Sus scrofa: one gene and its partners. The protein of the gene in region 1 interacts with the protein of each later gene in a biochemical or structural test. Links are inferred from orthologs where the notes say so. Each region holds a gene or a part of one and is shown on either strand. Other genes may lie near its edges. The genes, in order: DLG4, CRHR1, RALBP1, CTNND2, SIPA1L1, SEMA4C and RPS6KA1.

Evidence for each region.
Region 2: the proteins of DLG4 (region 1) and CRHR1 form a complex in vitro, tested with the Homo sapiens proteins (2 studies listed by BioGRID and IntAct, with this or other methods). The link is inferred for Sus scrofa from reciprocal best matches to the Homo sapiens genes DLG4 and CRHR1.
Region 3: the proteins of DLG4 (region 1) and RALBP1 interact in a biophysical measurement, tested with the Homo sapiens proteins (2 studies listed by IntAct, with this or other methods). The link is inferred for Sus scrofa from reciprocal best matches to the Homo sapiens genes DLG4 and RALBP1.
Region 4: the proteins of DLG4 (region 1) and CTNND2 interact in a test that uses a peptide from one of them, tested with the Homo sapiens proteins (2 studies listed by IntAct, with this or other methods). The link is inferred for Sus scrofa from reciprocal best matches to the Homo sapiens genes DLG4 and CTNND2.
Region 5: the proteins of DLG4 (region 1) and SIPA1L1 form a complex in vitro, tested with the Homo sapiens proteins (2 studies listed by BioGRID and IntAct, with this or other methods). The link is inferred for Sus scrofa from reciprocal best matches to the Homo sapiens genes DLG4 and SIPA1L1.
Region 6: the proteins of DLG4 (region 1) and SEMA4C form a complex in vitro, tested with the Homo sapiens proteins (2 studies listed by BioGRID and IntAct, with this or other methods). The link is inferred for Sus scrofa from reciprocal best matches to the Homo sapiens genes DLG4 and SEMA4C.
Region 7: the proteins of DLG4 (region 1) and RPS6KA1 interact in a test that uses a peptide from one of them, tested with the Homo sapiens proteins (2 studies listed by BioGRID and IntAct). The link is inferred for Sus scrofa from reciprocal best matches to the Homo sapiens genes DLG4 and RPS6KA1.

The regions. Positions count from the first base shown.
Region 1 is NC_010454.4:52,563,713-52,567,829, reverse strand, and holds part of DLG4 (disks large homolog 4), read left to right. Parts: intron 1-1,374; exon of another isoform or gene 1,375-1,528; intron 1,529-2,070; coding exon 2,071-2,235; intron 2,236-4,117. UniProt on the Homo sapiens protein: Postsynaptic scaffolding protein that plays a critical role in synaptogenesis and synaptic plasticity by providing a platform for the postsynaptic clustering of crucial synaptic proteins.
Region 2 is NC_010454.4:17,303,112-17,307,694, reverse strand, and holds the start of CRHR1 (corticotropin-releasing factor receptor 1), read left to right. Parts: upstream 1-1,386; 5' UTR 1,387-1,689; coding exon 1,690-1,722; intron 1,723-4,583.
Region 3 is NC_010448.4:98,595,687-98,600,368, reverse strand, and holds the start of RALBP1 (ralA-binding protein 1), read left to right. Parts: upstream 1-1,423; 5' UTR 1,424-2,340; intron 2,341-2,439; exon of another isoform or gene 2,440-2,528; intron 2,529-4,682. UniProt on the Homo sapiens protein: Multifunctional protein that functions as a downstream effector of RALA and RALB. As a GTPase-activating protein/GAP can inactivate CDC42 and RAC1 by stimulating their GTPase activity.
Region 4 is NC_010458.4:524,343-528,459, forward strand, and holds part of CTNND2 (catenin delta-2), read right to left. Parts: intron 810-4,117; coding exon 678-809; intron 1-677. UniProt on the Homo sapiens protein: Has a critical role in neuronal development, particularly in the formation and/or maintenance of dendritic spines and synapses. Involved in the regulation of Wnt signaling.
Region 5 is NC_010449.5:95,166,439-95,169,752, reverse strand, and holds the end of SIPA1L1 (signal-induced proliferation-associated 1-like protein 1), read right to left. Parts: intron 2,976-3,314; coding exon 2,832-2,975; 3' UTR 1,025-2,831; downstream 1-1,024.
Region 6 is NC_010445.4:56,750,270-56,754,901, reverse strand, and holds the start of SEMA4C (semaphorin-4C), read right to left. Parts: upstream 3,244-4,632; 5' UTR 3,005-3,243; coding exon 2,586-3,004; intron 1,274-2,585; coding exon 1,125-1,273; intron 1-1,124.
Region 7 is NC_010448.4:83,944,189-83,948,072, forward strand, and holds the end of RPS6KA1 (ribosomal protein S6 kinase alpha-1), read left to right. Parts: coding exon 1-54; intron 55-290; coding exon 291-367; intron 368-549; coding exon 550-667; intron 668-1,544; coding exon 1,545-1,682; intron 1,683-2,045; coding exon 2,046-2,168; 3' UTR 2,169-3,001; downstream 3,002-3,884. UniProt on the Homo sapiens protein: Serine/threonine-protein kinase that acts downstream of ERK (MAPK1/ERK2 and MAPK3/ERK1) signaling and mediates mitogenic and stress-induced activation of the transcription factors CREB1, ETV1/ER81 and NR4A1/NUR77, regulates translation through RPS6 and EIF4B phosphorylation, and mediates cellular proliferation, survival, and differentiation by modulating mTOR signaling and repressing pro-apoptotic function of BAD and DAPK1.

The DNA of each region.
Region 1 (4,117 bases):
AGTGAGAGAGGCGGACTGGCTCCTCCCCCCTCTCCCCCCCATCCCGCCCCAGCTCTGGGCACGCCCAGGCTCAAGACCACATTTTCAGGGTGTGGAAGGAAGAACTTCTTTCAATTCCTGGAATTCTGTTATCCAAGATGGCCCAGGATTTTTTTTTCTTTTTCTTTTTCTTTTTTCGGCTTTTTAGGGCCACACCTGCAGCATGGGGTCATGGTCGAATTGGAGCTGTGGCTGCCAGTCTATGCCACAGCCACAGCAATACTGGATCCTTAACCCACTGAATGAGGCCAGGGATCTAACCCATGTCCTTATGGATACTAGTCTGGTTCGTAACCCGCTCAGCCACAATGGGAGCTCCTAAATGGCCCAGCCTTGAGGGGGATAATTTAAGCTTCTGCTTCCCCCTAACTTCACTTCTTGCACTTGTGGTATTGAAACCTGGAGTTCTGAATTCTCTTTCTAAGTCTGTCTCCAAGTCAAGTCTCTCTCCAAGGCCAGTAAACAGAGCCTATCTTGATGAGCCCCTTGCTTGCTTTCTTTAAGGCGCTTCAAATGTATCAGGATGCTCCCGGATGCCAGCATGTCTCTGTGTCACACCGTCTAACTCATCCTCTTCTCTGACTTCATCCTAACCAAGGCCGAAGTTGGGTTACAGCCTCAGCCTTGGTTCCTCCTCCGAATTTTCAGAATCCTACCTATTGGAGGAAGCCGATCAAGGCATTGACCTTGATCGGCTTCCTCCAGTTTGATCTAGTTAACCGTTCTTCTGTGAACGTTGAGGTCTTCTCAGTGTCTAAGATACTGTGAGAGGGAACTCTTGCCTTTGCTTTTTACCCATGAGTACCGGGGCGTGTATTCTGGCTTCTGCAGTCTCTGAGGGAGCCTCCCCTCCTCCATGGAGCCTGGAGTTGGGGAGGGTTTGCTTCTGTGGGGACAGGGGCAGACCTGGGAAGACCCAGGCTGGGGTGCTGCCTGTCATTACTCTTCTACTGTTGTCTCCAGCTGCTCTCTCTCTCTCTCTCTCTCTCTCTCTCTCTCTCTCTCTCTCTCTCTCTCTCTCTCTGGCCCCGTTAATCTCATTTACGGGTGTCCCTGTTAAGCTAGGACAGGAGGCCCTTGAGATGGCAGGTGGTCACTTAGGAAGGGAGTCAGGAGTCAGATTGGGTCTCTCCCTCCAAAAAGCTGGAAGGAGACCGGGAATTCGCTCTGAGGCTCTACCGGGCTCCGCAGTCAGCAAACCTGGAAGTTGGCACCCATTCCTGCCCCCCTTCTGTGCCCTTCTGCCTCTGTTCCTCCCCCTCCCTCCCCTCTTCTTCTAGTATATCCGATTAGCTGGCGGGGCTGTGGGCATTTGGCGAGATGGGGTAGACTCCTGGGGCCCCTTCGCTGACGGCTTGGGAACCAGCGAGGCCAGTGGAGGAAGAGCTGGACGGGTTTAGCCTGAGGGGCTGAGGCCGAGAACCTGCTAGTTCAAGTGCTTGACTGCGGTTCCCGCCTGGGAGATGCTGGAGAGCCATTCACTTCCGGGGTAGAGGCGGGAGGTGGAGGCAGGGAGGGCGGGGTGGGGTGGGATGGACCGGGCGGGGGGTGAGGGGGGCACTGGACGGAGGAGGGAGTTACATATGGGAGTGGGATTAAGGTAAAGAGGACGTGGGTGAAGCTGCTGAGGGCAGCAGAGACCCTGGGGATGGAGCGAGAGAACGAGGTGGGGGGGGGCGCACGTGGCAGGGGCTGGGGCTCTGGGAAAGGGGGAAAGCAACGGACCCCAGAGGAGCGAGCGTGTGGGGTAGCAGGCCGGGGTCCGAGGCTGTGGGCTGGAGGAGTTGCGGGATGAGGCTGGGGTTTGGGAAGCAGCGGCAGGTGCCCAGGCCCGGGCGGGAGAGGGGGCTGTGGGGAGGGTGGAGAGAGGGGAGCCAATGGGCTGGAGGACAGGGAGGGGGAGGAGCTGGTCAGGCCCCGGGGCCTGGCGCACCGCACTGGCGGGGGAAGCGGAGGCGCGCTGGGGCGGGCAGCCTGGGGCCCGAGGCGCTGGGCCGGCCCCCGTGACGCCTCCGTCGTCCCCATCCCCAGAAATACCGCTACCAAGATGAAGACACGCCCCCTCTGGAGCACAGCCCGGCCCACCTCCCCAACCAGGTAAACGCCCCCGAGCTGGTGCACGTGGCGGAGAGGAACTTGTCCCACCTCGAGGCCGTCCAAGGGGTCGTGGGCCACGCCCACTTCTCCCCCCTCAAGGTAGGAGACTCAGGCGGCCCCCTCCCCAGTGCGGCCCCCGGAGCCTCGGAGCTACAACAACCCCCAAGGGCCGGTAGGGCGAGAGCCGTAGGTGGGGGGAGGCTGGGACGTTGGGGGGGGATTTGGGTTGGGCTCCTGGGGATGGGGGGAGGGGACATTTGGGGCTCTGGATACACCTGATTCCCACAGAGGAGAAACAGAGGCCAGGCAAGGGGGAGTGGGTGTAGTTTACACCCAGGGCGTGTGTGTGTGTGTGTGTGTGTGTGTGTGTGTGTCTGCGTGTACGTGTGTTGAGATGTGTGCATCCCCCAGGACCCTCCCTGGGCCCAGGCCCTCTTCATTCCTTCACACCCCCCACCTCCGTTTCCATTTTCTGTGTCCAGAGCTCTGCTCAGAGTGCCTGCTGCCCTCATTCGCTCTTGTCCCTTGGCCACCTCCTCCCCCCACATCCTGCCTCTGGGCCTGGCTCTCCAGCCCTTTCCATCTGTCTGGCCTGAGACTTCTAGTCTGGGCCCTTTCTCCCCTGCTCTGGCCTTTGCACCCCTCCTGTGCTCCCTCCCCTCCTCGCTGCCTTTCCCTCCCCACCACCGGCTGGCTGGCTGGCTGGCTGGCTGGCTGGCTGGCTGGCTGGCTGGTGCTGGATGCGGTCTCTCTGTTCCTCCCACGCACTCTCCTTCCCCCTCTCCTGGTCCCCAGCTCAGGCCCTCTGCGGCCTCATCCGTCCTCTGCCTCGGGCCAGCCGGCTCCCCCTCTCCCAGTTACCCCTTCCCTACTCCGCTTCTCTCCTCTCCTCTCTCCTGCTCTCAGGCTCGCACCTCCACTCAGATTTCTTTCTCTGCCCCCTGGGTCCCCCCCCCCCATTACTATTCATCACCACCTGTTTCCCCTTCTCTTCTGGGCTCCTTGGATGTTTTCTCTTCTCCAGGCCCGGGAGGCCTTGTTTCTGAGACCTTCCGTTCTGGACCACTTCCCATCTTCTTCCCCCTCAGTCTCCTCTTCTGGGGGCACAGGCTGGAGGGGAGGGGTGGAGTGTGCCAGGCCAGCTGTGAGATTCAGGGGAACACTGTGGGGTCCAGAGTGAGATTACGGGATCTTGTGGGGTGCCCTGGGAGGTGGGAAGTTGTTGACATGTCACCAAGAAGATGGGGCGGAGGTTTTTCTGAGCCTGGGATGAGGAGGCAGGGAGGGGGCAGCAGGAGGTTCTGGGGTGAGAAGGAGAAGAATTGGAGAGGGAGGGAAAGACCATTTTTTGGCACTTAGCAAAGAGGAGGGATGACAGAGGGTCAGGCGTCCTGCGCCAGGAGACAGGGATGGGATGGTGAAATCAGGGCAGAAGGTTCAGCTGGCTGAGAGGAAGGAAAGGAAGGCCCTGGAGATGGGGAGATGGTGCAGAGTATTCCCGTAAAACTCTGGGGGCTGCCTGGAGTGAAGGGAAGACTAGAGATGCTGTATTCCCAAGATGGGGCATTAAGTCCCTGGGGAAGGGGGAGAGGAGAGAGGGTGGTAGTCAGGACAGCGCGAAGGAGAGGTGGAATCTGGGCCCAGGAGACAGAGGAAGTGGAGGGAGAGCCTGCTGGAGGTCATACGTGTGGGAGGGCTAAGGCCTGAGCTGGGGGGCCGGGAGGAGCCTCAATTTTCAGAGGGTAGGGAAAGTGGGTTGAAGAAGTGTGATTTGGGCACACAGAATCTTGAGGGTTTGAGGATGAGGTCAGGGAGCCAGAAATTAGGATGGAGGCCAAGAGCAGGAGACTGATAAAGGAAGGGGCCGGAGGGGAGGGTGAGGACAGGGAAGGCCATGGGGAATGGAGGCTGGGGTTGGAAGATGGAAATTGAAAGGTGGGGCAGAGCTGTAGATGGAGGATATCACACAGGGCAGGGGCAG
Region 2 (4,583 bases), about 35 Mb from region 1:
GCCCAGCCCCCTAGGCACTTTGAGCTGGGAATCAGGAGGTTTATCAGCTCTGTCACTTTGGATTGGGCACCACCTCTCAGCGTGCCTCAGTTTCTTCACAAGACTCCCCGTCTAAGTGAAGTTAACAGCTGGACACATGAACACACTGGCTTTTGCTCAATGTGCTGAGAAGTGGCTGGAGGAGAGGAAGCGGTGGGCAAGGCAGTGAGGTTCAGAGTTTAATTGCAAAGCTGGCTGACTACCATTCTGGAAGCTTCTCTGGAGCGGCTGCCATTGGCATGGCAAGCCCAGGCTCTGTGGAGTAGTCATTTCTCTACCTTCCTTTTCAGCTTCGGCGGGAGGAAGGAAAAGATGGAAGATGTCAAAAGTTCTGTACAACTGGAGGGGCTGGGGGGGAACGTTTAAGGGGTTTGGCAGAGGCGAGAACTGCTTCCCAGAGCTGGGGGCGGGTGGGAGAGCTAAGCCGCCAAGCTGGCTGAAGACTGGGAGTTCTAGCAGGGAGGCTACCCCTACCCTGAGAGCTCGGCCGAGAGGGGGCGCTGTGGCCTCTCCCCGCCCAGCGGGTAGGATTCTTTGCTCTTTCCCCTCAGCAGCGCAGTGCGCGCTCGATTTTCCCCTCAGTGGCGTTCAGATGCTGGCTAGTGCGTCAGGGCACCGCCATCTCCCCTGTCTTGGGGTTCCCAGGTGAAGCCCCTTGCCGAAACCAAACTGGGCAGGCTCTAAGTCTGTAGATTGAATGAACAGATAAGCGAACGAAAGAATGAAAAAGAATGAATGAATGAGAAGGATTCCTCCCTCAGAGCTTTCGCTCCTCAGCGCGCCCCTGGCGTGTCCGTGCCAAAGGCGCGAGGGGTCTAGCCCGACAACCCAGCCCTGCTGAGGCAGGGGCGGCGGGGACCTTCTCCGGGCCGGCTGCTTGGGCGGGAATTGTCCAAACGCAGTTCCCAGCCTCACCCGGTCTCCGCGGCGGCTCCGCTCTGTTCGGGCTGCCCTATTCCCTGTCCTCCGATAACCTCGCTCTTAAGAGATTCACCCGAGCCTCCCAAGTCCCCCTGGACGCCCTTGGACTCCCCAGGCCCCAACCTGAAGTCGGGCAGGAGACGGGAGGTTGCCTCCTTTCCCGCCTCCCCCCGCCCCTCAGCCTCTCCCCGGGCTGCGGCGGCCACCAGCGCTGCCAGCGCGCCCAGCCGACTGCCGCAAACCCGGGCGCTGGGGGAAGAGGGTCAGCTCCGCGAGGGCGCGGGGAGGCGGCCCGGGGAAGGGGAGGGGACTGGGGAGGCGAGGAGGCGGAGGGAGCAGAGGGGCGAGGTGCGGAGGAGGGACCGGAGGGGAGGGGAGGGGAAGCCAAGGGAGGGGTGGGGACGCCCAGGCGAGGGGGTGGGGAGCCGAGACGAGTAGCGGCGCGGACCGAGGGGGAGGCGGCGGGGGCGAGGCAGCCTCCCGGCGAGCAGGAGGCGGCTGCCGGCCAGGCTGAGTCAGGAAGCGGCGGCCGGACTTGCCTGGGAAGGGGAGAGCGAGAGCCCGCCGGACTGGGCTGCGGGCCCGCGGAGCCGGGCACCTCTGCGACCTGCAGCGACACAGGAGTCCGGCCGCCCAACCCGCGCAGCCCGAGCCCGCACCCGCCAGCCGGCCCCTCTGGGATGTCCGGGGAACCCAGGCATCCAGGACGGCGGTAGAGCGAGCCCGAGGATGGGACGGCGCCCGCAGCTCCGGCTCGTCAAGGTAAGAGCGAGCTGGTCAGCCTTCGAGCGCAAGCAGCTCTGGGGGCGCGGGGCTCGGTGGGTTGTGGGTGTGATGCGAGGGCTTGGGTGTCACTGAGAAGAACTGTGTCCAGGGGCGGCCGGCGTTTGAGGGGCAGCCCAACTCCCTCTTCCAGGACCTTTGGAGGGGGCGGTGGGCGGTGGGAGGAGAACTCAGGTGCAAAAAGAAATTGTGGCGAAGCTGACGGGCCGTAGGCGTTGCGGGAGGCGGGGGGACGCCCACCCGGGTAACCAGCTCTGTGCCGGGAATCGCTCTAGGCGTTGGGAACCGACCCACCCTTCCTGTGTAGACCAGGGTTCCGGGACGAGAGGCTCTGGAGAGGGGTTTCCCACCCGCCCCAGCACCCTCTCTTCAACTCCCCCACTCTGCACGCCCTCCCCCCCCGCCCTGTCCCTGGGAGCTCTTTCCCGCCCCTGCAAGTCCGGGGAGATAAATGCCCCCCGCGCCGGAGAGCCCTGGATCGCAATCTCCGGGGAGCAGACCGTGCATCCGGCGGTAGTTACCGTTCCGCCGCCGCCGCCGCCGCCGGCCCGCCCGCCGGAGCACCACGCTCGCTCTTCCAGCCTTTGCACGCGCGGGTCCCCGCGCCTGCTCCCTCCTGCCCGAGCTCTGGCGACGCGATTCTGGCGCCCGGAGTTTAGGAAAGTCGCCAGACCGCACATCCAGCGTCTGTCCGCTGAAGTTCGGGGGCGGCCGGGGCTGCCCGCGGGCCCAGGGAAAGGCTAGGGGGTCGACAGCTCGGCCCGCCGCTAGTGCCAGCCGCTACTTCCCCATGACAAGCGATTCCCAAAGCGGTTCCGCTTACGAGGTGTAGGCTCGAAGCAGCAGCCAGAGCGAGGGGTAGGTGGGCCTCGGCGCTGCCGCGGGGGAGTCCAGCGCGGCCCTAGCCTGAGGATCCGGACACCGCTGGGTCAGTGTGGACGGCCTGTGGAAAAACAGACACCAGCTTGACTGGATTCAGTGCATTTAAGAATTGAATGGATTTGGTAGAGGGGCGCGGATTGACTGAATTTCATTTTTTCCTATCAGTTATTAAACCAGCTGAACGTATATCAGCATACAAAGTGGTTTGAGGTAAACCATCAAGATTTTAAAATGCAACTGCTGCCAGGTCATCAGTTGACACGTTACCAGTTACTAAGGCTTTCTCCATCCTCTTCCTCCCTCTCTAGAATATTTATAAGTTGATTTTTAAAAATGCCTGGGGATTGGTCTAATTGAACCCATATCCTGGCCCTACCCATTAACTGAGGACTGGGGATGAACCCAGAGATTATTTTCTGGGTGATCAAGGAGACCAAGGAAGGGAGGGAGGAATAAAAACATCTAGAGAATAGATGGCATTGAATGGTAAAATTTTCCAAAAGGCTAGTGTGTACTGAAACTTGGCCTAAATCTGCAAATCAATTAGACCCAATTCAACCTTTTAAAATAATTCAAAAGATTGAACTTTTTTGTTTTTGAGTTTACATGGTAATTGGTAAATGTTCTTTCTCTGACCTTTCTTCGAATCACATGCAAATCTCTGCTTAAAATTATGATGCTTTACTAAAAGAAAATTTTTTTTCTGTTATTGTATGTGTTTTCCCTACTAAGTGGTAAGGTGTGTTTCTTTAAGTCTCGCCTAATGAATTCAGTAGGTGCTCAATAAATACATACCATGGTGAATGAGAGGCAGCTAATGCTGATTTCAATGAAATAATTACCTTTTTCCTTTTATTTATGTAGCATATATAACTTTCTCAGCATTGTTCTACCTGCTTTGCAAATATTAAGTCATTTAGTCCTCATAAGAACCCTGGGAAGTAGGAATTATTATTGAGGCACAGAGAGGCTAAGTACCTGGTTCAAGGTCATACAGCCAGTGAGTGGTGGAGCCAGAATTCAAACCCAGGCACTGTGGCTCTAAGGCTTTTTTTGTTAGCTTTTACCATAAAATATTCTAAGCTGCTTAAATCTCATCCTAGACTTGTACCAGATGAGAGAAAGCATGGGTGGTTTTGTCAGAATGCAAGTCTGAATCTAGGTGGGATTCATCCAAAATCTGACTATGTCCTCCACAAGTATGGGGAAAAGATCCACTCTGGGGCCCTTAGTGTAGGCCTCTCACTGTACTGGTTACAGAGAATTGGGGAAGAGTGTGTGGGTGACTGGGAGATTTGTGTGTGTGTTTGTGTGAATGAGGGAGAGATGGTATGCGTGTGTGTGTGCCTGTCTGTGTGGACACCGAGGATACTGGTGAAATGCTGTCTGGGTCACCTGCCCACCAGCCACAGCTCCTCACAGGGAGACACAAGTGTGGCTCACAATGGCAGGTTTGGGTGAGTGTGAGGTGTGGAGGCAGGGGGCTATGAATGGAGAGTGAGTTCTGCGGAGAGAGCTGGTTTTATTGTTATTGTCATGAAAGCAATCTAGTAGTATTAGACAAAGTTTGAAAACCAGAGGGGGAAATTATTACAATCTCACCCTCCTAAAACAGCTGTTGTTATCATTTTGAAAATAATCCCGGCAGGCCTTTTTTCAAGTGCAGGTGTGGACATTGGGAATGCCTTCCCATTACTGTCACAGCCCAAGTCTGTCCTATGTTATTCTTGAGCCTCCAGAGAGAGGTTGTCAACATCTCTGTTCCCTGTGAGGGGATATTCTTTGCCATGCCTATATCCATGCACGTTTGGGCCATTCCAAATTACTTCTTTGACAAATAATACAGAGCTAGGAGTTCCCATTGTGGCTCAGTAGGTTAAGAACCCTGCTACTATCCATAAGCATTCGTGTTTGATCCCTGGTCTCACTCAGTGGGTTAAAGATCCGGCGTTACTGCA
Region 3 (4,682 bases), on another chromosome or scaffold:
AATGCTGCAGTTTACTAGAAGCTCCAACCCAAGTCTCAGTGGATCTCGTCGGCTCTGACTGAGTTAGGTGACCATCTCTGAAAGCCTCCACCACCAAAAGGAAGAATTATGCTGTGTGGCTTAAATGGGAGGAATAAATTGCAGGAGGCAACCAACAAATATGTTCCATAACCACACAAATTAGCCCTAAATAATAATAAATAAATAGCTGCATTGGCTCTCTCGGCTAGGTTCACATACTCAAAGCACTTTAGAAAGAGGTATGCTAGCCATGCCCTCTGAAACTGAAACACAGTCTCCATGCGGTCAGCTGTTTGTTTCCTCCCTCCTCCACTAGCACTCCAAGTCTCCTTTTGGCTTCATTCATTGCTGCTGCACAAAGGCCTCTTTTTGTTGTGAAGAAGGTGGCGGTCAGCTGTTGCTACAGTAAGATGCAATCTTCCCTCCCTTTTTTGTGTTCATATAACAATTTCCAGCAAGGGGTCAATAATGCCCAACTTGGATCAGTCCTATCCCTTGGCCCAGTCGGTGCTGCCAAAGGCAGAGTATTCTAACTGGCTTGGTTAACGTGCCGATCGATCCCAGTGGTGAGGACACTGTGCTGTTGCCAGTGAGGCAATAAGAAAATTTTAAAGCTGTCAAAACAATGGCAAGCACAGACCAACTTGGTATTTTATTTTTATTTTTATTTTTCCTTTTTCAGATAAAAGTTTTCATGGGTCCTGGAGATTCATGTATCTCCAGACTTAAACAGAAGCTTTTATTTTATTTATTTATTTATTTTTGTCTTTTTGCTATTTCTTGGGCCGCTCCTGCTGGCATATGGAGATTCCCAGGCTAGGGGTCCAATCAGAGCTGTAGCCACCGGCCTACACCAGAGCCACAGGAACCGGAATCCCAGCCGCGTCTGCAGCTCAGCAGCTCACGGCAACGTCGGATCGTTAACCCACTGAGCAAGGGCAGGGACCGAACCCGCAACCTTATGGTTCCTAGTCGGATTTGTTAACCACTGCGCCACGACGGGAACTCCCAACTTGGTATTTTAATTGTGGGCTCTTCTTGAAGGTCAGACAAGGTGGCTGCACTTTATTGAGAAGGAAATGTAAAGTACGAGGGAGACCTACTGTTAGCCTTGAGTAAAGAGCAAGGCAAGATGGATTAGAGAGGTCAATCTAAACATGGAATGAAGTTCAGAGGAGCATCGCAGGTGGGAATGTGAGGATCGGGAAGCGCCATCTATTCCGGTTTTATCATTCCTCTAATAAACCGCCACACTTTATGAAACAGTAACAGTTAAAGGCCCCTGGTTTCCAGCCATGCATTAGCACAATTCTTCCAGCTTTTGTGAAGGCGTTCTGGAGGAAGTACGGTTATTTTGGTCTTCTTCTAGATTCAATGCTTTTGGTTGGCAAGCTAACCGTGCGATGGGCAGTTCTAATTAAGGAGCTCCTCGGGAAACGCCGAGCCAGAGAAGGCGGTGGGAACTGGGACCCCGTTGCACCGCAAGACCCGAGGGTTTGCCTTCTGGACACTAATTTCAGGGATGCCGAGGTCAGTCCCGGCACGGAGTCTACACAAGTTTCTCCGCGGAGGCCACGGCGCTCCCTGTGCCGCAACCCGCAGCCAAAGTCCCCACGGAAGCCGAAGCCTCTGCGCCCAATCGGGGCGGGGGGAGGCCCCACCCAAGAGCGGGCCGAGCCGGCCTCCGGGCCGGTTTAACTGGTTACGGCTGAAACCCGCCGGCGGGAAGGTCTGAGCTTCCGCAGCTAAGAAACACGTTGCCCTCCTCCAGTCCGCGGCCAGCACCGCCCCAGCGATCCTCGCAGACCTCGCTTGGGCAAGGTGCGCGTCGCCCGCCACCACCAGGAACTGCGCAGGCGCCAGCGGACTCGAGCCCGGCGCGTCCTCTCGCGCGCTCCCAGCTCTCCCCAGCGGGCGCCGGGACCGGGCAGGCGTGGTGCTTCCTGGGTGTTGTAGTGCGCTTCCTGGCGGAGGACTGCCTACAGCCTCGGCTATGGGTTTCCGTGGACTACCGCTCCCAGCGTGCTCCACGCTGGGGGCATAGGGCGCCGGCCCTCGACGGCTCCGGCCTTCAGCGCCGAGCTGGGGACCCGGGAAGCCGGCTGCGGCGGGGAAGGAGTGCGCGTGCGCGCTGGCCCGGCTCGTCCGGTTCTGTCCCAATCATTGTAAACAGGCGGAGGCTGGGGCGGGGTGGGAATGGGGTGCCAGAGGCCGGCCCAGGGCTTAGCGAAGGAGGTGGTTGCGGCGGCGGCGGCGGCGGCGTGAGAGTCGGGAAGCGGCGGCTGCGGCAGGGCAGGCGCTCACCCGGCGCGGGCGCAGGTCAGTGGCGAACGGTGGGTGGGCGGGGGTCGCGGCGTATGTCAGCCTGGAGCGGGGCCAGGCTCCTGGCCGGCGCGGCGGGGGCGGGGGCGTGGCTGCCCTAGCGGGCTGGACCCGGCGGGTTCCTCCGCGTTTCGCCCCCACTGCCGGTCTCTCCCGCTCTTCAGCTGGCCTATCGGGACTCCGCGGTGTGTCCGGGCTCTTGGGTCTAGGGGAGGAGGGTGGGTTTGGGGCTCTGCCTCAGGCAGCCACTGAGCGCGGGGATGGAGCTTGGGGACTCGGCCCTTTACGTAACCGCAGCGGAACTGTGACCGGCCTCTAGTGCTGCCAGGTGGGCGGGGAGGGGCTCGCGGTCTTCCACCGCCAGCGCGGGAGCGGCAGAGCTCCGGGGCTTCCGCGGGACCGATCCGAGGGGAAAATTCTTTTCACAACCTTGTCTATTAGGTTTGTGCTTAAAGGCTTTATTGAGGTCAGCATACCCCCCACCCCCCACGCTTGGTCGTTGTGAGAGTGAAACAGGTTTTACAAAATTCCCGCACCTCTGCTTTACCTGAAGTCATTATGCTGCTTCAGGTTCTGGGATTCATGACCCAGAGCCTTCCTCTTGAGCAAGCAACATGTCTCGGGCCTGGTGGAGTTCTGGAAGGTGATTAAAATACTAATTCGAGGGATTTTGAACATTCTTTTGAAAGAAGCACAGTCATTTGGACACTGAGTTAACACACCGACTCGCCCCATTAGCAGAGCTTTCGCCGATTTTTTTTTTATTGAGCGGAGCGTGCATGTCCCAGGGTTGCGGCCCTTGGGTGACATTCTGTCCCACTGGGCAGTTATTCACGGAATATTCAAGAAGTCATAAGGGACAGGCCCACTTGTGGTTTGGTGGTCCTGGAGGCAGCAGTACTTCTAAAAGAATAAGTGGACCTCTGAATGAGAAAGGTGACTTCACTTTTTGCCTTTCCAGTTTTCTAGATGATTAATTAATTCCTTTCTGAGTATTTTCCTGAGAATGCGTAATTGCTGTAAACTGAATTGGTGAGTAGTCGAGGTAGGAAGTTAGTAGAAGGGTTCCCACTTTTCATAGTAGCCCGTTTGACAGTAACTGTTGAGAAGTAATTCTTTAAACAAAGTATCTTGAAGCAAGGTGACATAATTTATGATCTTTTCTTCAAAATAGCATTTCTCATTTTACATCCTCCAGGGACCACTTCTCTTTTAATTTAGAAAAATATAAGTGGTATTAGAAAGTGCATATTAACTTTGATTTATACAGTTGTTTGCTTGGCAAGGAAAGATTGGGCCCAGAATGTCACCCCAAAGTATGTTCTTTCTTGAAAGGAAATCTGGGATAGAAACTTTTGTTAATATATGGGAAATTGCAGATCACTTAGTGTAGAGGAATTTTTGTGTAGCAGGTACTGTGAAGATGGCTTAGAGATAGATAAGGTACTGTCCCTGCTTTCTGTGTGATAAGACTTTATCTCTTATTTGAACTGTCTGCAAGTCCAATGTGTTTTTAAGATCATTTTCACTGGAGAAAGGATGGGCCACAGTGGGTGTACAAAGGAGGTAGTGGTCATTTTATTTTTAAGGGAGGAGAAGGAAAGATTGAGAAAGGGGGCACTAGGAAGAAAAAGTGTATATTGGAGGGGATGAAAACGGTAGGTGTACAGGCACAGAAAGCATGGGCATTTAGGTAGGAGAAACTGCAGGAGTCTCAACTTCCGTGAATCGTAGGGTCTGCAGGTATAGATAGCAAGGGTACAGGGTGGTGGCAAGATCTGAAACTGGGAACTTAGGCAGAGACCAAATTAGGAGTAGTCTGTAGATAAGCAAAGTAATTTATCTTGAAGCAAACAGGAGTTGTTGAGACAGGATGGAGAGGCCTTAGCCAGCTCAATCCGTTTTAACTTCTTGCTGTGTGGTAGCCATTGTATTAGGAACTTGATGTCCTTAAACTTAAAGAAGGTTTAGGCATGACTGAGACAGAGATCACTGGAAAGGAAATTCAGGCCAAGGAAAAGTTGGACCTGATGAGAGCAAGCCTGCACCCTTATAAGTGTGGGGCATTCTCAGCAGCTGTAGCGGTGGGTGTATGGTGCTAAGCAGCAGGAGATGACACTGTACAGATAGATCTTCAAGTGGGCTGTGCCATTCTAAGGATTCTCAAGGTTGTTTTATTCTCATAGATAATAATAGAGCTTATGGATTTTAACCAGGAAAGAGTCATGATAAGCTTTCCATCTTATAAAGATCATTCTGGTATCGTATAGATTTCAGAAGGGGTGGAGGGAAGTAAGGCACCATGCAGGAAGACTGGTGAGGAGTTTTGGTGACAGATA
Region 4 (4,117 bases), on another chromosome or scaffold:
CCTCTTCCCTATTCCAGGAATAAGATGCTACCCCCGCCCACCCAGAGGCATATGGAAGTTCCCCGGGCCAGGAATGGAATCCGAGCTGGAGCTGCGACCCACACCACAGCTGGAGCAATGCTGGATCCACAACCCACTGCGCCAGGCCGGGGATCAAACCTGCACCTCCACAGAGAAAAGCCAAATCACCAACCCACTGTACCTCAGCGGGAGCTCCAGATGCTCCATCTTTTTTGTTTTTGTTTTTGTTGTTGTTGTCTTTTTAGGGCCACACCATAGCATATGGAGGTTCCCAGGCTAGGGGTCAAATTGGAGCAGCAACTGCCGGCCTATGCCACAGTCACAGCAACATGGGATCTGAGCCGCATCTGTGACATACAGCTCACAGCAATGCCAGATCCTTAACACACTGAGTGAGGCCAGGGATAGAACCCACATCTTCATGGATACTAGTTGGGTTCATTACCACTGAGTCATAATGGGAACTCCCAGATGCTCCATCGTTATACTTCTGGCCTAATCTCCTCATTGCCAATCCCTGGGAATCTGCCAAGGTCTCCAGGACTTGCTGGCTGCTCAATCTTGCCAAGCCACAAGCACGGCCAGATGTCCCAGCCCTCCACCCTGTCCCCTCATGTCACTGGCTCCGAGGGAGAACTGCACTCAGTGGAGCTCACCTGTCATGGTGTCCTTTCGGGACGTGTGTTCTCCTTTAGTTCCATGATAGGTGGCATTGCTGCCAGTGGACTCGTAGTCTGTTTTCCTTTCTTTGAGGCTGATCATTTCCCGAGGTGAAGCTGGGGCACTTGCTACATAAAGAAATTGAAAGGATGAGTTTCTGCATCTTACTGCACAGCATGCACAGCTTTTCAATATGCAAAGTAAAAAGTGTATGGGCTCAACATAGGTCAGTCTGCATATGTGCACCTGTCATTTTTGTTGTTGCTGTTGTTCTTTGGGTCCCTGTCTTCGCCCCCTTCCCTTCCCTGACTCCATGTCACTTGGTGATTTATAGTTAAGGGGACACACGACTTGGAGGCAGGGAATTAAGGGTTAATTCTTGGGTCCTTCTTCTCTAGAAAGACATCTTCACGGGGAATTGACCTGCTCAAGGTGTAAGGACAGTCTTAAGAATGAGATCCATTTTGGTTTCTTTTTCTTTGTCTTCTCTTTTTCTTACCTTTTCCTCCCTCCCTTCCTTTCTTCTTCCTTCTTTTTAAACAATCAGGTGTGTTTCAGAGGAGCTTTTACTGATAGAGCAAAATCTCTGATTAAAACAGACTCAATTTGGAGTTCCTGTTGTGGCTCGGTGGTTAGTGAATCCGACTAGGAACCATGAGGTTGCGGGTTCAATCCCTGCCCTTGCTCAGTGGGTTAACGATCTGGCTTTGCCGTGAGCTGTGGTGTAGGTTTCAGATGCGGTTAGGATCCCTCGTTGCTGTGGCTCTGGTGTAGGCTGGCAGCTACAGCTCCCATTAGACCCCTAGCCTGGGAATCTCCATATGCCACGGGAGCGGCCCTAGAAATGGCAAAAAAGACAAAACAAACAACAACAACAACAACAACAACAAAACAGACTCAGTTTTACTACTTAACCACTAAGTCATGCAGAATTGCCCTAAAGGAAGGCAGAGGAAGCACCTGTCCATAGAGGATAATTTGCAGGGCCAACACATCCCCACCCACCAAGGTTTCCCCATCGTGCCTCGGGCTGGGTTGGAGGCATGGCACAGGGAGAGGTTTCTCTCGTGAGGGGCATCCCTGTTCCATCTCAGATGTTCCCAACAACCTCTCATGCACACCTCGCACGCTGGCCACTTGCTGCCTGTCAGACCTGGGGACTGAGCCCTGTCAACCCTTTGTGTCTTCATTTCTAAAATGCTGGGTTGTAGTTAGAGGAATCCCCTGGAAATTCCACTATTCTTTAACACGCTGGTCCCAGAACAAAGGAATAGCTGAACTTGGACTTAGGGGTGCAAACAAAAAGAGGTTTTGTTTTTTGAAAATAAGGATGGATGGGGGGCAACTAAGCAGCCCTGCCAGTGCAGGATGTGTTGGGAGAAGCTGAGTTAGGTGTGTATGCCTGCACTGAGGCAGCCATCATGTGCCCATCCCACAGGCTGGCCTTTACTGGTCTCCGTGCTCCTCGATGAGGCCACCCACATCCCAAACTTAGTCAAATGCATCCAGCTCAGGCACAGTGCTCTTCTGCTCCAGAGCTCTCCCCGGCTTCCAAGCCCGAGGGCACTGCTTCATAAACTTGGGACTCGCCTGAAAACTTGGGGATTCTAAAACACCAACCCAGACCTTTGGAATCACAATTTTCAGTGGATAGACCTAGAAATCTGTATTTAGTGCGCATACTTGGTGATTATTAAGGCCAGGGTATCTCTGGGGAACTGTGATGTTGGGATAAAGCTCTCTTTCCTTCACTAATGTCCAAGCCCCTTGCCAGTCAAGCCTCAGTTTACCTGTCAGCTGGCTATTCACACCCTCTGTAGGGTCCCTAGCTCCAGCCCCTTGGCCTGCATATCCCCTGTCTGAGTCACTTGATTCATCACAGCAGACTTAGTATCATCCACGTGCAGAGCCCCGTGTCAGACACCGGGAGCAAACGCACAAGTCACAGCACACTTTCTAAACTTGAAGAGCTTGTGACTTACAGACCACCCTGCAGAAGTCACTGCCAAGTGCTGATAAGATAACAGAGGGGGCCTCTGCCCATCCTTTCCTGAAGGGCCCCCTGCCCACCTCTCAGACCTGTCAAGTAAAATCGGGGCTCACTGCTCTATTCTTGAAACCCTCAGAGGCTTCCATTCCAATCCTGGCTGCCCATCAGAATCAATTACCTGGAATACTTGCAAATATAGTGATACTTGAAACCCTCATGGACCAGGGTATAAATCCAATGGGAAGAGATGGAGGAAACCACAACTATTCCGCGTAACTCAACTGGGTTCTGGGTTCAGTTCCTGCACCTTCCCAGAACAGCCGCTGCTGCGTCTCGCTCGCCCCCTCCGTCTCTGTCTCTGCCCTCCTCTCTCTATCCTCCTCTCCTGGGACAATCCCCGCCTTCCCTTGCTCCTCCGCTCCCAGGTCTTGCGCCTAAAGGCTGGCCTTTTATGAGTCACTGCCAGGCAATCACGAAGAGATGACATTTTGGAGCCTCTTGATCAAAGCTTTTAAAAGTGGAATCTAATATGGCACAGATGGTGGGGTTTATTAACCACATCAAGTGTGTAATTATCTCCTGAGACCTCTCACACAGTGGTCCGAGGCTCCAGTAAACCAGGATGACACTCCTGGAAAAATCAAATCACGCCAATGAGTGTTTGTTAGATGTCTTGGATGTGCCCCGCCTGGGGACCACCAGGCAGGGCCTGGCTGCACGGCTGGGACGCTGACATCCGGAACCGGTGCTGCTTCCCATTCTGGGAGCCTTTCAATCTATTCTATTTCCATGTTCCTAACACTGATTACTTTTTCACAATTAGAGATTTTAAAAAGCCACCATCCTTGCGCATTCCAAACTTGCTACTCTTTATCTGTTCAAGAATTATGGACACAGAGAACAGATGTGTGGTTGCCATGGGGGAAGGGGAAGGGAGTGGGATGGACCGGGAGTTTGAGGTTAGCAGATGCAAACTGTTACATTTAGAATGGATAAGCAGTGAGGTCCTACTGTCCAGCACAGGGAACCATATCCAGTCTCCTGGGACAGACCATCATGGAAAATAGTACATGAAAAAAGAATGTGTCTGTGTGTGTATATATATGTATGACTGAGTCACTTTGCTGTACAGCATAAATTGGCACAACATTGTAAATCAACTACACTATAATAAAAAATTTTTAAAAAGAATTACGGAGATAAGACGTATAAAAGGCCACCTCCAGGCTTTTGAGGTAGGTGGAAGTTTCTGGAGTTACACAGGGAGGGGGTTCTAGTTCTCTTTCAGTGTAGGGCTAGATGTCACAAGCAATGATGCCACACTAAAAATGTAAGCTTTCATGGGAGCTGGGGGAGGGCAATGTATTTCAGTCAAATTTCCCATTCATTTCTGACTTTCCCCATCGTTCTGACAGGAAAGTGTGGTGTAAACGTTTATGACAAACA
Region 5 (3,314 bases), on another chromosome or scaffold:
AAGTCTTTTTTTTTTTTTTTAAATCAGAGTATGATTCCTTGTAAATGGTGTATAATTCATAGGAAAAAGTTATCCAACACAGTTACTTGAATAGATCTACTGTGAGATGGGAATCTCTTCAGCTCATCATCTTAGATTTAACTAAAGGCAAATTGCTTACCCCTGCTGGGCCTATTGCCTTTGCCCTTGTACTGTTTCTATCCATCTGGAATTAGTATCCAACCCAACCCAATCTGTTTCTCCCCTGCAGCAGACTTGGAGCACAACCAATCAGCCCCTCCAGTCAGCTCGAGGCCGAAGACCCTCCATCAATGTAGCTCAGTGGCATCTTCTCCCAGGAACACCCAACCCACATCCAAGCCCTTCAGAAATAATGTAAAAACCCTCTAGACCAGGTAAGAATCATGGTGTACAGACTTGCTTAGCTTGCTAATCAGAGCATCTTGCGGCACTCGGTCATACACTGTCTTGTAATTCTCAAATCTGTAGAAACTGTTGAACTAGAGAAAAGGAAGAAACTCAACTGGCAGCTCTCAATTAGCTGCACCACTGGAGAGGAACAGTGACGTGGTAGATTTCAAAAATTTGGTTCCATTTGGCTTTGGAATGCATTGTGACTTTTTTCAGTAGATTAACTTTTCTAATTATATTTTGCACACCCTAATATTAACAGCCATTGGTATGCCCTAGGCATACGACATCTAACACTGAGAGATGGGAGAGGCAGTAGCGAAGTCCAAAAATGTGCTGGTCTCAGGATGATCCACACACGGATAATGAAGAGGGAACTAATTCTACAGTGCTCTGCAAATATTAAATCATAAGCAGAGAAGGCAAATTAGGAACTCTCTATGGACATGTGACCAGAGAGTGAGAAAGCTTATTAAAAGTCTAAAAGGCATAACCTTGTAGGAATCATCTTGGGTGTTAAGGCATCCAATGGAAAAACAGGGATAGCAGGAGAGTCCATGAGTTCCTGGGTAGTCTTTCAAATAAGAAAAGCTGAAGCAAGAATACGAAAGCGTTTTAAAAGAGCGTTTAAAATGAATTTTATTGTTTGAATTTTACAAGTAGTCCTCAAAGGCTTTGAACAAGAACTCTGTTGCAAAACTCTAATAAATAGCTTGCCCCAAGTCCCCAAACAAAATGTAAAACAAAAATAAAACCTAAACTCAGAAGGACAAGCAAGACTTCAGAATGCTTGGATGTTAGCGCTAGTTCTCATTTACAAAGAGCTATCAGGCAATGTACAATCTCCTTCATACAAGTCAGAGAAAGAGACAGACAATTGAGATCGTCACAAAGCACTCGGAAATCTTCCCATTTCCCTGGTAGAAATGTCACCAGAAAAAAAAATCCCACGGTTAAACCACAATCATGACTGATGCTGTAGCGTAAAAGCCTGGTGATGCAGGTGGGGGAGAAGAGAGGGCCAGCCGTCCCTTTTCTTTCAGGGATGGAGAGAGGAATGGGCTGAGATTACTCGGAGCAGGGAACGTCCGAGCAGAGGCCGCTAGACGGCTGAATGTTCCCTTAGACCAGAGTTGCCACTGAAAGGGGCACAGGTAGTCACTGAATGACCATTGTGAAGGCAAGAAACAAGGCCACCGGGGCCTCCCCTGGGGTCTCTCAACACTGGTGACCTAGTGTCTCTTGTGCTGTCAGGACTGAGAGCTTTAGAACAATGGCCAGGGGCCCAAAGCAGCTGCATCACTAGATAGAAAAACAGCACATCAGTCACTTCTGCCACAGAATCCTGTGGACGGCCACACGAGGATGCAGAAAATGCTGGGCTGAAATTGTACACTGGGACATGCAGGTCTCAAAAGCCCATTCTGCTATCACAGTCATTGCTCCGAACAAGGAAATATTAAAGTTTACAATTTAACGTTTGCTTTTCCTAGTTACAAATACTGGTAAAGCCTTGCTTTGGAGAGAAGGATGTATTAATACAATCATTTTGAGAGCGCTACAAATACTATTTTGCCACATGGTTATCTTTAAAAATCTCCAAAAAAATAAACCTATGATTTGTATGCATTTTGGTCAAAAGTTGGAGGAATTCTGAAACTGATTACTTTTGGGAAGCAGGAAGACACAGAAAGGCTGACTCCAATTTAGAGGGACTTACTTAAGCCAGGTAAAAAGGCTCCATTGCCGAGGAGCACAGAGCCCTGGACCATCTCCCCAGGAAGGAAGGAGGAAGTCGTGCTGTCACAATGCAGGATGGAAAAGGGGCGCGGCTTGGCTTGCAGGCTCTAGCTCTGCTGCTCTCTGGTTCACTCATTTGCTACCCTTAAGTAACCCATCCTGCTGATCTCTGTGAGACAGGGACAAACATCACTGGCTCATGCACAGGCCATTCAAGGGAGGTAGGCATTTTCTAAAAGCACCTCCCTCCCCAGGCATTGTAGGAATGAAGGTAAGGAAATCCCCCTCCCCAAATAAACAGTTGAAAACTTTATTTTCCTAGGAACAATGACATTTGTCAGAATAACAAGGGAAAGCTCGGGGTACCTGAAATAAGAAAGAGCTGATGGAAAGAGGGAGATGGGCCAGGGGGAGGCCCTGGCCCTGGGCCCAGTTTCTTTTTAAATACATAACAGATAAAGATATTGTGCAAAAAAATAGACATTCACATTTTAGCAGTTAAACTTTTATTTTACTTTTTAAAATTTTTATTTACCATTTTCTTTCTCTTTTCTACAAAAGGCAGATAATGATTGTTGATCTGCAATTGTCGTGGTGTGCACTCCCCGAAAGGGGGCGAGTCGGGAGCTGGGGAGGGAGGGCTGAGGAGGCCTCCGCTGGCGGGTGGCCCCCCTCCTGGCCTAGCTCATGTCTATGGTGTTGAAGACCCACTCGGTGAACTTCTTGAGCTTGTCGGAGGCATTCTGGGACTCTTCCTGCAGCCTCAGGTTGTCCTCCCGCAGATGCTGAACTTCCGCCTGGAGGTGGGCTTTGTCTTCTTTTTCCTGGAAGAGTGGGCAGAGCGGAAAGGAACTTAAGAGAGTGGCCCAGCCCAGCCCAGCAGCTGGAGGGAGTGGCTGTGAATCCGTGTGCACCCCTCGCCCACTTCCCCTTCTTTCCACTAAACAGCCGCTGCTGTCTCCGTGGCTGGCACTGGGCGTTCAGATGCTCTCTCCCAGGGCACAAGACTGCTAGAGAGATCCACTAGAGGTTTATTTTGGACTGTAAATACAGGACTGTGTAGTTTAATGTCTTTGTTAAATTAGAAGGGGTAAGGGCTGTCTTACATGGAGATGACGGTCTGGTGGCTGCTGTCTTAACAGAAAAATTCTCTTGTGCAAAAG
Region 6 (4,632 bases), on another chromosome or scaffold:
AGAAGGAAGGAAGGCGCTCTCAGCCACCGCTTCCGGCCAGAGGAAGCCATTAGGCTGGTGGCTCTCACCCTCAGGGTCAGCAGCACCTCCGGCTGCAGAGCTGGGCACCCCCACCCTCACCCTGGCCTCCTCAGCTGCTGCTTCCTTCTTTGCTCTGCTGCCCGAGGCCCTCCTTAAGGGCCAGCTAGGCACTGGCCCCTAATCCAGCAGGACAGAACGGACAGAAGCTGTAGGTGCTCCTTATCTTAGGAAATCTTTTCCTCTAGTGAGACCCAAATCCAGGCTGCTAGAGATCCAAGCAGAGCTAGCCATGGACCAGGAGGGATGGCAGGAGATGGAATCAGGCTGGGAGGCCAGGGGAAAGCAGAGGTGGGGACCAGAGGCCCTCGGGGCTGGGAAGCCCTGCTGCCACCCACCATGCAGGGCACCAGGACATCGCAACATTCACCGGATTCCCACGTCAGTCCCCCAAGTAGCCAGCGACCTGTCCTCAGGGTCCCCCTAAACCAGCCTTAGTCTTTAGAGCCAGCAATGGGGCCAGACATAGGCTGGCCAGGGAGGGCTTCGTTAGCACCAAGAGGAGCCTGTGGGAGGTGAGCTCATCCAGGTCCCCAGAGTGCATGGATGATACAAACACCTGACATCACCTCTGCATACAGGTGTGTGCGCATCCAGGGCCGCCAGACAGCCTGAGTGTCAGAGTAGCAGAGCAGATCTATCAGGGTTGCTAAGAGGGCTCCTGGGGGCAGAGAGTTAGAAAGACTTTGGTGCGGAGGGCAGGATGGGGGTGGGGGGACACCCTCTGTTTCATACCTATCCTGGCTCTCAGTGCTAGTGATGCTTTTAGAAGTGAGGCACAGGGAGAGCGATGCAAGATGGGCGCTCTCTCTCGCATAACAGGGGCAGCTTAAGTGTCAGGAGAGGTACCCCAGGGCCTGGCCTGGATTCCCAGTTCTGGGTCCCTGACACCTCTCTCATTTCTTAGAAAGCTGTGTCACATACATCAGTAGGCCTTGAGTCCAACTGCAGAATAAATCTGACACATTCTAGAGAACAATTCCTTAGCACACCCTTCCCCCTGCAGTCCCTCCTGGCCCCCCGCGTGCCACCCTCCAGGCACTCACCCCCAGAAGAGACCGTCTTCCGGGGCACCAGGTTCCACCACACCTCAGCCTCAATGCCCAGGCCCCACAGCCCCACTGCCAGCAGCCAGAAAGCCCAGTGCGGGGCCATGGCACACGCCCCACCTCTAAGCTCCAGGCCAGCTGCCCTGCTGGGGGAAAAGAAAGGGTCAGAATCACAGCCAGAGAAAACAGACCGAAGGGGGCCCACACAAGCCATGCCAGGAGGCACTGACTGGACCGAAGATCTGATCAGGCCTCTCCAGGACTTCCTCCTCCATTGCCCCAGAGCTTGGAGCACAGACCCAGCCCACGCCCACACCTGGGTTCAGCCACCACAGCCTTCAAAGGACCATGGGGTCTCCCTGAGGAGAACGGGTGAGCTGAGTCAGCTGGAAGAGTGGACACCGGAGAAAGGCCGGCCTCCTAGCCCTCCCCCACTCCTCCACAGGAAGTTGTTTAAGAAAATAAAAAGGGGACCCCCCCCTTCCCCCACCCAGGCCTGACAGATTGTAAGGATTTCTTAAAATAACCTCTGGAAGCAGTACCTACACGGGCTCCAGCCAGCCCCAAGACCTATTCTGAGGCACAAACCCCTTAGCAGGGGGATGAGTGTGTAGTGGGGTGGTGGTGGGAAAGGCCCTCCAGGGAGGACTCGGTGCCTCGGGCAAGCGGGGGTCCAGGCGCCAGTCCCTCCCCTCCCCCAGCGCAGACAATGGCCAGGCAGAGCCCCCAGCCCCTTTCCACATCACAGGGCTGAAGTGGGGCCTGGAGCTGGTGGGGCCCCGCTTCCCAAGGCCCCTTTGTTGCCCACGAAGGGAGGCAGGAAGTGGGTGGGATGGGCGTGGAAATGACCGGGGCCTCATCCTGTTCCTCGCACTGCCTCCTAGATAGAAGACACCAGCCCTCAGGCTGAGGGGCGACGGGACAACAGAGCCAGCTCTGGTCTCATCAGGGATCTCCCGGCGGCGCTTTCAGGCGGGGGCGGGGGGGGGGCGGTGAAGACCGGGTGGATAGGGCCACGGGGGTTCCTCCCGGACCGCGGGAGGCTCCTCGAGTAGGGCCGGCGCGCCTGCTGTGCTACCCGTCGTCTGATGAACCTTCCCAACTCAGGGATTGCGCCCCCCGGACCCCAGCCAGGGCAGGCCATCTGGATTAATTTCCACTGCTCCAGCCCTGCAATGCTGGCCACAGAGACACTGAAGCTACGGATGTGCTCACCCAAAAACAAAAGGTCCCCGCCAAGACTCGGTCCCCGGTCGCCCCTCACCCCGTTCTCCCCTCCCCCAGCTCCGGGGATTTGAATGCAAACAAAGCGGCGGCGCTGGGAGCGTGGCGGTGCCCGGGCTATGGACGCCCCCTGTCGGCCCAGTACCCCAGCGCGGGAAGGGCGGGCGACCTGGGATGCGTTCACCCCCTGAACCAGTCCCCCAACACACCCCCAGCCCTCCCTCGGCCCCTTACCCAGGCCCGAATCGGACCCCGCGGCGCACTCCGATGCTCTGCTCGCACAGTGGTGCCCCTGCTCCCAGCTCCTCCCAGAGCGGGGGAAACGGGCAGCCTTGCGGTGCGGGGGTGGAGGGGTGCAGGATCCCGGCCTCGCGCCCCCGACCCTTGCCCACCCCGAGCGGCGGGCCGTGGATGGCACCCCCGCGGCTGCAAGGCGAGCGCTCCAGCCTTTCCAGGACAGCCCGCCTCCCCAGCGGAGCGGAGCGGGCGGGAGGCTGGGGGGCCGCGGCAGGGAAATCCGATCCCACAACATCGGCCTCCGTCCAAGCCCGCCCCAAACTTTCCGTCGGAGGTGGCAAAGCCGGGGGCAGTTCGGGGACCTGGAGAAGATCCCGGCCTCGGACCGGACAGCACGGGGGACCCCCGCTCCCCATGACCAGTCCGCGCTTCCGGACCCTGTAGCGAAGGGAATAGCTTGCCCCGCTTACGAGCCCCCGCGAGGCAGCCCGCGGGGGGCGTAAGAAGGCACTCGGGCGGACAGTTGTCCCTGCCGCCGCCCCTCCCTGCGCCCCCAGACCCTGTCCCTCGCGCGTGCAGGCCGCCCCCTCCCGAGTCGGCGGACAAAGCAGCGGGCCGGAGCCCCTTAGCCCCGGCCCCGGGCAACCCCGGCCTCACTCACCTCTTCTTCGCGGCTGGAATCCCTGGGCGCCGCCCTCGCGTTCGGCTCCGACCACGGTCCGCCCCTGCCCGCGCGCCGCCGCCCGCCCGCGCGCGCCCGCCCGCCCTGCTCCGCTGCCCGGCTGCCACCGCCCCTCGGCCCGGCTCGGCTCGGCGCCCCTGGGCTCGGGCTCCCCGCGCCACCGCGGCGGGCGCCGGCTCTTTCTCCCCGGCTGCCGCCGCTCTCCGTCCCCTCCCCCTGACGTCAAACAGGGTGGGGGGGGTCGGCGGAGGCCGGGGGCGGGACGCGAAGGCCCGCCCCGAGGGGGGCTGTGACCCGCCGCGACCCGCACGCCTCGCCGCTCCCCGTCCGGTGGCTCGGACCCCCGCCCCTCCCGGTGCCCTGCGGCCCAGCGCCTTGTAGTCATGATCTGCGCCACCGCGCGGGGAGGTGGGACAGAGGAGGGACTCCGGGCCCTGGCAAGGGGAATCGGACTTACCCGGTCTTTCCGAAGTGTCCCCTAAGGCCAACCGCTCGGGCTGGGCGACCTGGATCGGGAATGGGGCTAAGGCGCTCCCTACGCTATGGTTACAGGAACGAAGGCAGGCGAGCCACCTCGAGGCGTGTATCCGAGGCTTCTCTTCGGGGCGGCCCAGAGTGGTCTTATTTGGACCCCCAATTCTGCATCGTTTCTTGGCTTGACGCCTGACCCCTGGGATCAGACTGGATCGGGCCTCACCAGCCAGGAAGACCCCCGAGCCTCCCTCGAGCTTCTGCCTGTTGTTTCTCACGCTCCAGGCAAAGGGTCCCACTCAGCGCCCCTTGCCTGACTCCGGCAAGGATAAACCCCGGCTCCTGTTGCACAGAGCCTACCCTCAGGAAATGACTCCTCTGGTGCCACTGGAAGGCTGAATAACAAGTGACATGAACCCTGATGTTCAGATGAAAGGGGTTGAGGGGAGCCAGCTGGAGAACTACCACTCTCAGAACCGCCAGCCTCCGCCCACAGCCGCTCCTAGAAGTAACTTGTAGCTCTGGTCTCCTGGGTGGTGCTAGGGTGTCTTTGCCAGCTGGTCCTCCAAGCTGGACAAGTGGACAGAGGAACCCCAGGGAGGCCACCTCATGGGGACCCAAAGACAGATGCCACCTCCTGTCTAGGGCCAAAGGGCAGAAGTGAAGAGACTGGAGGCAGAAAAGCTTCCTGGTAACATTAAGCCCTGTGCAGTCCTGTAGGGGAGGGACACTTTAGGGCCCCGTCAGCAGATTTGGATTATAAATCAGTCCTGGACAGGGGCTTTTGTTCTGGGTTAAAACTTGGCATCTGAAAAGTGGAGGCCAGAAGACCAGTGGAGATAATTGGGGAAAGCAGCCCAGTTTGGATTCAGTAACAATTGGGTCTTTGCT
Region 7 (3,884 bases), on another chromosome or scaffold:
GAGAATGGGCTTCTCATGACACCTTGCTATACTGCCAACTTCGTGGCACCTGAGGTGAGTGGCCCAGCCCCCTCAGCTGCAAGAGCAAGGGGGCCTGGTACAGGAGGCCAGGGTCCCCTCCAGAGGCCCCATACCATCCAGGACTCTAGTCTCTGTGGCCTTGGCCCAGGTAGAATCAGCCCATGCCTGGGACCCTTGTCCTACCCTTTGGGGAGCAGCAAGCAAGCATATGGGGCCACTCGCCGCTGCCACTCGGACTGACGGCCCTCCCCTCTCTTCCTAACTGCCAGGTACTGAAGCGCCAGGGCTATGACGAGGGCTGCGACATCTGGAGCCTGGGCATCCTGCTCTACACCATGCTGGCGGGGTGAGCCTGGACCCCCTCCACCCCCTGCCCCTTCCTCCAGCCCTAGTGTGCAGGCTGGCAGGGCGCCTGTCTCAGGGAAGGCACCCAGCCCTGCCTTTGGGAGCACCCAGTCTGAAGTGGGAGACACAGTCCCCAGGGTGGAGGCCAGAGGCTAGACTCAGGTCGGGTGGACTTTTCTCCAGATATACTCCATTTGCCAACGGACCCAGTGACACACCGGAGGAAATCCTGACCCGGATCGGCAGTGGGAAGTTCACCCTCAGCGGGGGAAATTGGAACACGGTTTCGGATGCAGCCAAGGTGAGTGTGTGATGCCTGCAGCCTGCTCACTTAGGGGGTGGGGAGGCAGGGTCCCGTCCCAGGGCTTGCCAGCGTTTTCCTGAGCAGGTGACTCGCAGCTTCATTTCTCCAGGTGGAATGTCCCACAAATTTCTGTTGCTCTATTTTTCCAAGTGGAAGATTCCCAGGCAGGCTGCCCCCTACCTTGTTTGGACAATGTGGTGATCATTCACTGGCCCTTCCGGTGTTCTGGGCCTTAGAGGAGGGAACATCTTTGGTTTTTTGGAGTTGGGGTTTTTTTCTTTTTTCCTTTCTTTTGTTTTTTTGCTTTTTGGGGCCACACCTGCAGCATATGGAAATTCTCAGGCTAGGGGTCCAATTGGAGCTGCAGCTGCCGGCCTACACTACAGCCACAGCAAGGTGGGATCCGAGCTGCATCTGTGACCTGCGCCACAGCTCAGCAATGCCGGATCCTTAACCCACTGAGCAAGGCCAGGGATTGAACCCGTGTCCTCATGGATACTAAACGAGTTTGTAACCCACTGAGCCATCACAGGAACCCCAGGGAACATCCGAACTTTCAGTATTAGCATCAGGTTCCAGTGGTGGGAAGCTGTGTGTCAGACACGGGGCCGAGTCCTTGATGAATAGCGCCACCTCAGGTTAACCTTATGAGTCAGGTGTTTCTGTTATCCTGTTTCTCAGAGGGGAAATGGAGGCTCAGAGAGTTGAACTAACTTGCCTGGGAAATGCAGTTGATGAGCAGAAGAGTCAGATCTTGGGTTCAGGCAGGAGACGGCAGGAGATGTTTCCTGAGCCGTCGCCCCATCAGCCAGACGCAGCTGCCTGCTCCCCTGCCAACCCCTCCCGCCAATGCCCTCGTCTGCTCCTCCCTCAGGACCTAGTGTCCAAGATGCTGCACGTGGACCCCCACCAACGCCTCACAGCTAAGCAGGTCCTGCAGCACCCATGGATCACGCAGAAAGACAAGCTTCCCCAGAGCCAGCTGTCCCACCAGGACTTGCAGCTTGTAAAGGTACAGCCACCCCAGGTTGCCGGGCATCTCAGGGCCCGGGCCAGGGCCCATGGGCAAGGACTTGGGGTGGGAGAGCCGGGCAATGCCATGTCCGTCTGTCCTCAGGGAGCCCCTGTCAGGGCTGTCAGCAGTGCACGCACAGCCCCTCAGTCCTCTGGGGGGCACAGCCCCTCGCCCTCTGAAACCTCCAGTCCGATGGAGGAGGCAGGACTGATGACTCTGAAGAACCACCAAGGCTGGATTAACAGGGGACAGAGTGGGCTGTGGAACACTGAGAGAGGCTGGCCTGGCCCCCGGCGCACGTGTCCCCGTCCCACCTGTGTCGCCCACCATGGTGAACTGACATCCCACCTTCCCTCCCAGGGCGCCATGGCAGCTACATACTCTGCGCTCAACAGCTCCAAGCCCACCCCTCAGCTGAAGCCCATTGAGTCATCTATCCTGGCCCAGCGGCGGGTGAGGAAGCTGCCATCCACCACCCTGTGAGGGGCCAGAGCATCAGGCGCCGGGCGGTGCTAGCTCGATGGAGGCAGCATACTTCCCAGAGGGAGCAGGCCTGAGTCACAGGGCCAAAGGGAGCGGAGCCCGAGGGGCCCAGGAAGCAGCCAGCCCCGATCACCCCAGTGAGGGTGTGAGAAGTGCCTTCTCCTTCCCCAGGATGGACTCTTCTCAGCTCAGGCTCTGCTGCTGGTTGAAATCAATCCACTGTACAGACTCATCTTTTTTTAAGGAAAAATGGCATCAACCACCATGGATTTTTACAGAATCCACTTGACTTTTCTGGGAGCAGAAGTAGCCAGTGCGGCCCCAGGAGGGGAACTGAGTCACACTATGGCTCTCTGTGGCTGAGACTCCTTACAGCAGCTTTGGGGTCACCCCAAGGGGTTCCCCACGATTGGCTGTCTGTAGCCAGCTGTGCCCACCTCCGAGGCAGCCAGCATCACCTTCCAGAGCCGCTGGCTGTTTCGCAGAACTTGCTCTGTCCCCAACAGCTCCTTTTCTGTTCTGTTCTGTTCCGGGGTCTGGAACCACTTTCTGCTAGAGGAGAGGACCAAGGCCCCGTGGCTCCCAGCTCCAGGCACCAGCATCCACCCGGGCCCCTCCAGTGGGTCCCCTGCAATCAGGTTGGGCAGCCCCTGGAGGAGCATCCGGAAAGCACTTTTTGGCTGACTTCTGCTGGAGTCTGCCACAGGACAGAGTTCACAGGAGGCCTGTGGGGCGGGCCCAGAGAGGCAGGGGCTTTTTTCATTTCTTCCTCAGCTGGTAACTCAGGGCTTATCTGTCCATGGCCTTTCTAATAAAATTACAGTTGAGTTGAAGCATGTTCGCCTCTGCTTTTCACCCCTGGGTTTGTCCTCCCTCTGTTGCTGGGTGTTGAGGACTTTGGCAGTGACAAGTAGTCGGCCAGGGCCAATTAGCCCAGCTGCTTGGAGCTCTGTTGGGGAGCATGTGGGAGTCCCGCTGGCTCTGCCCACACATTCCTGCAAGGTCTTGATAACAGTAATGAGATTATTACCCACCGGTGACCAAGTGCCAGGCACAGTGAAGTAGATGCTTTATGATTATGATTTTATTTATTTTTGGCCACACCCACACCAAGTGGAAGTTTGGGGCCAGGGCTTGAGCCCACGCCATAGCTGCAATCTCAGCCACGGCAGTGACAATGCCGAATCCTTAACCCACTGTGCCACCAGGGAAGTCCCAATTTATATATTTTAAAAGATCAATCTGACGAATGTGTAGCGAACTGATGGGGGGAGAGGGCAGGCAGGAAGCAGGTGACCAGGTTGGTGGCTACAGAAGAGATAAGGTTGCCTGGCCCAGGGTGGTGGGAGTGGAGATGGGGAGGAAGTAGACAAGGTCGGGAAGGGTTCTGGAGGTGATGTTAGATAGCACCTGCTGTCACTTTGGATGTAGAGGCTAAGAGACAGAGGAGATTCATGGATAGCTTCTAGATTTTTTTTGTCTTTTTGTCTTTTTTTGTCTTTTCTAGGGCCGCTCCTGGGGCATATGGAGGTTCCCAAGCTAGGGGTCGAATCAGAGCTGTAGCCGCCAGCCTACGCCAGAGCCACAGCAACTCAGGATCCGAGCTGTATCTGCAACCCACACCACAGCTCACGGCAATTCCGGATCCTTAACCCACTGATCGAGGCGAGGGATTGAACCTGCAACCTCATGGTTCCTAGTCGGATTCGTTAATCA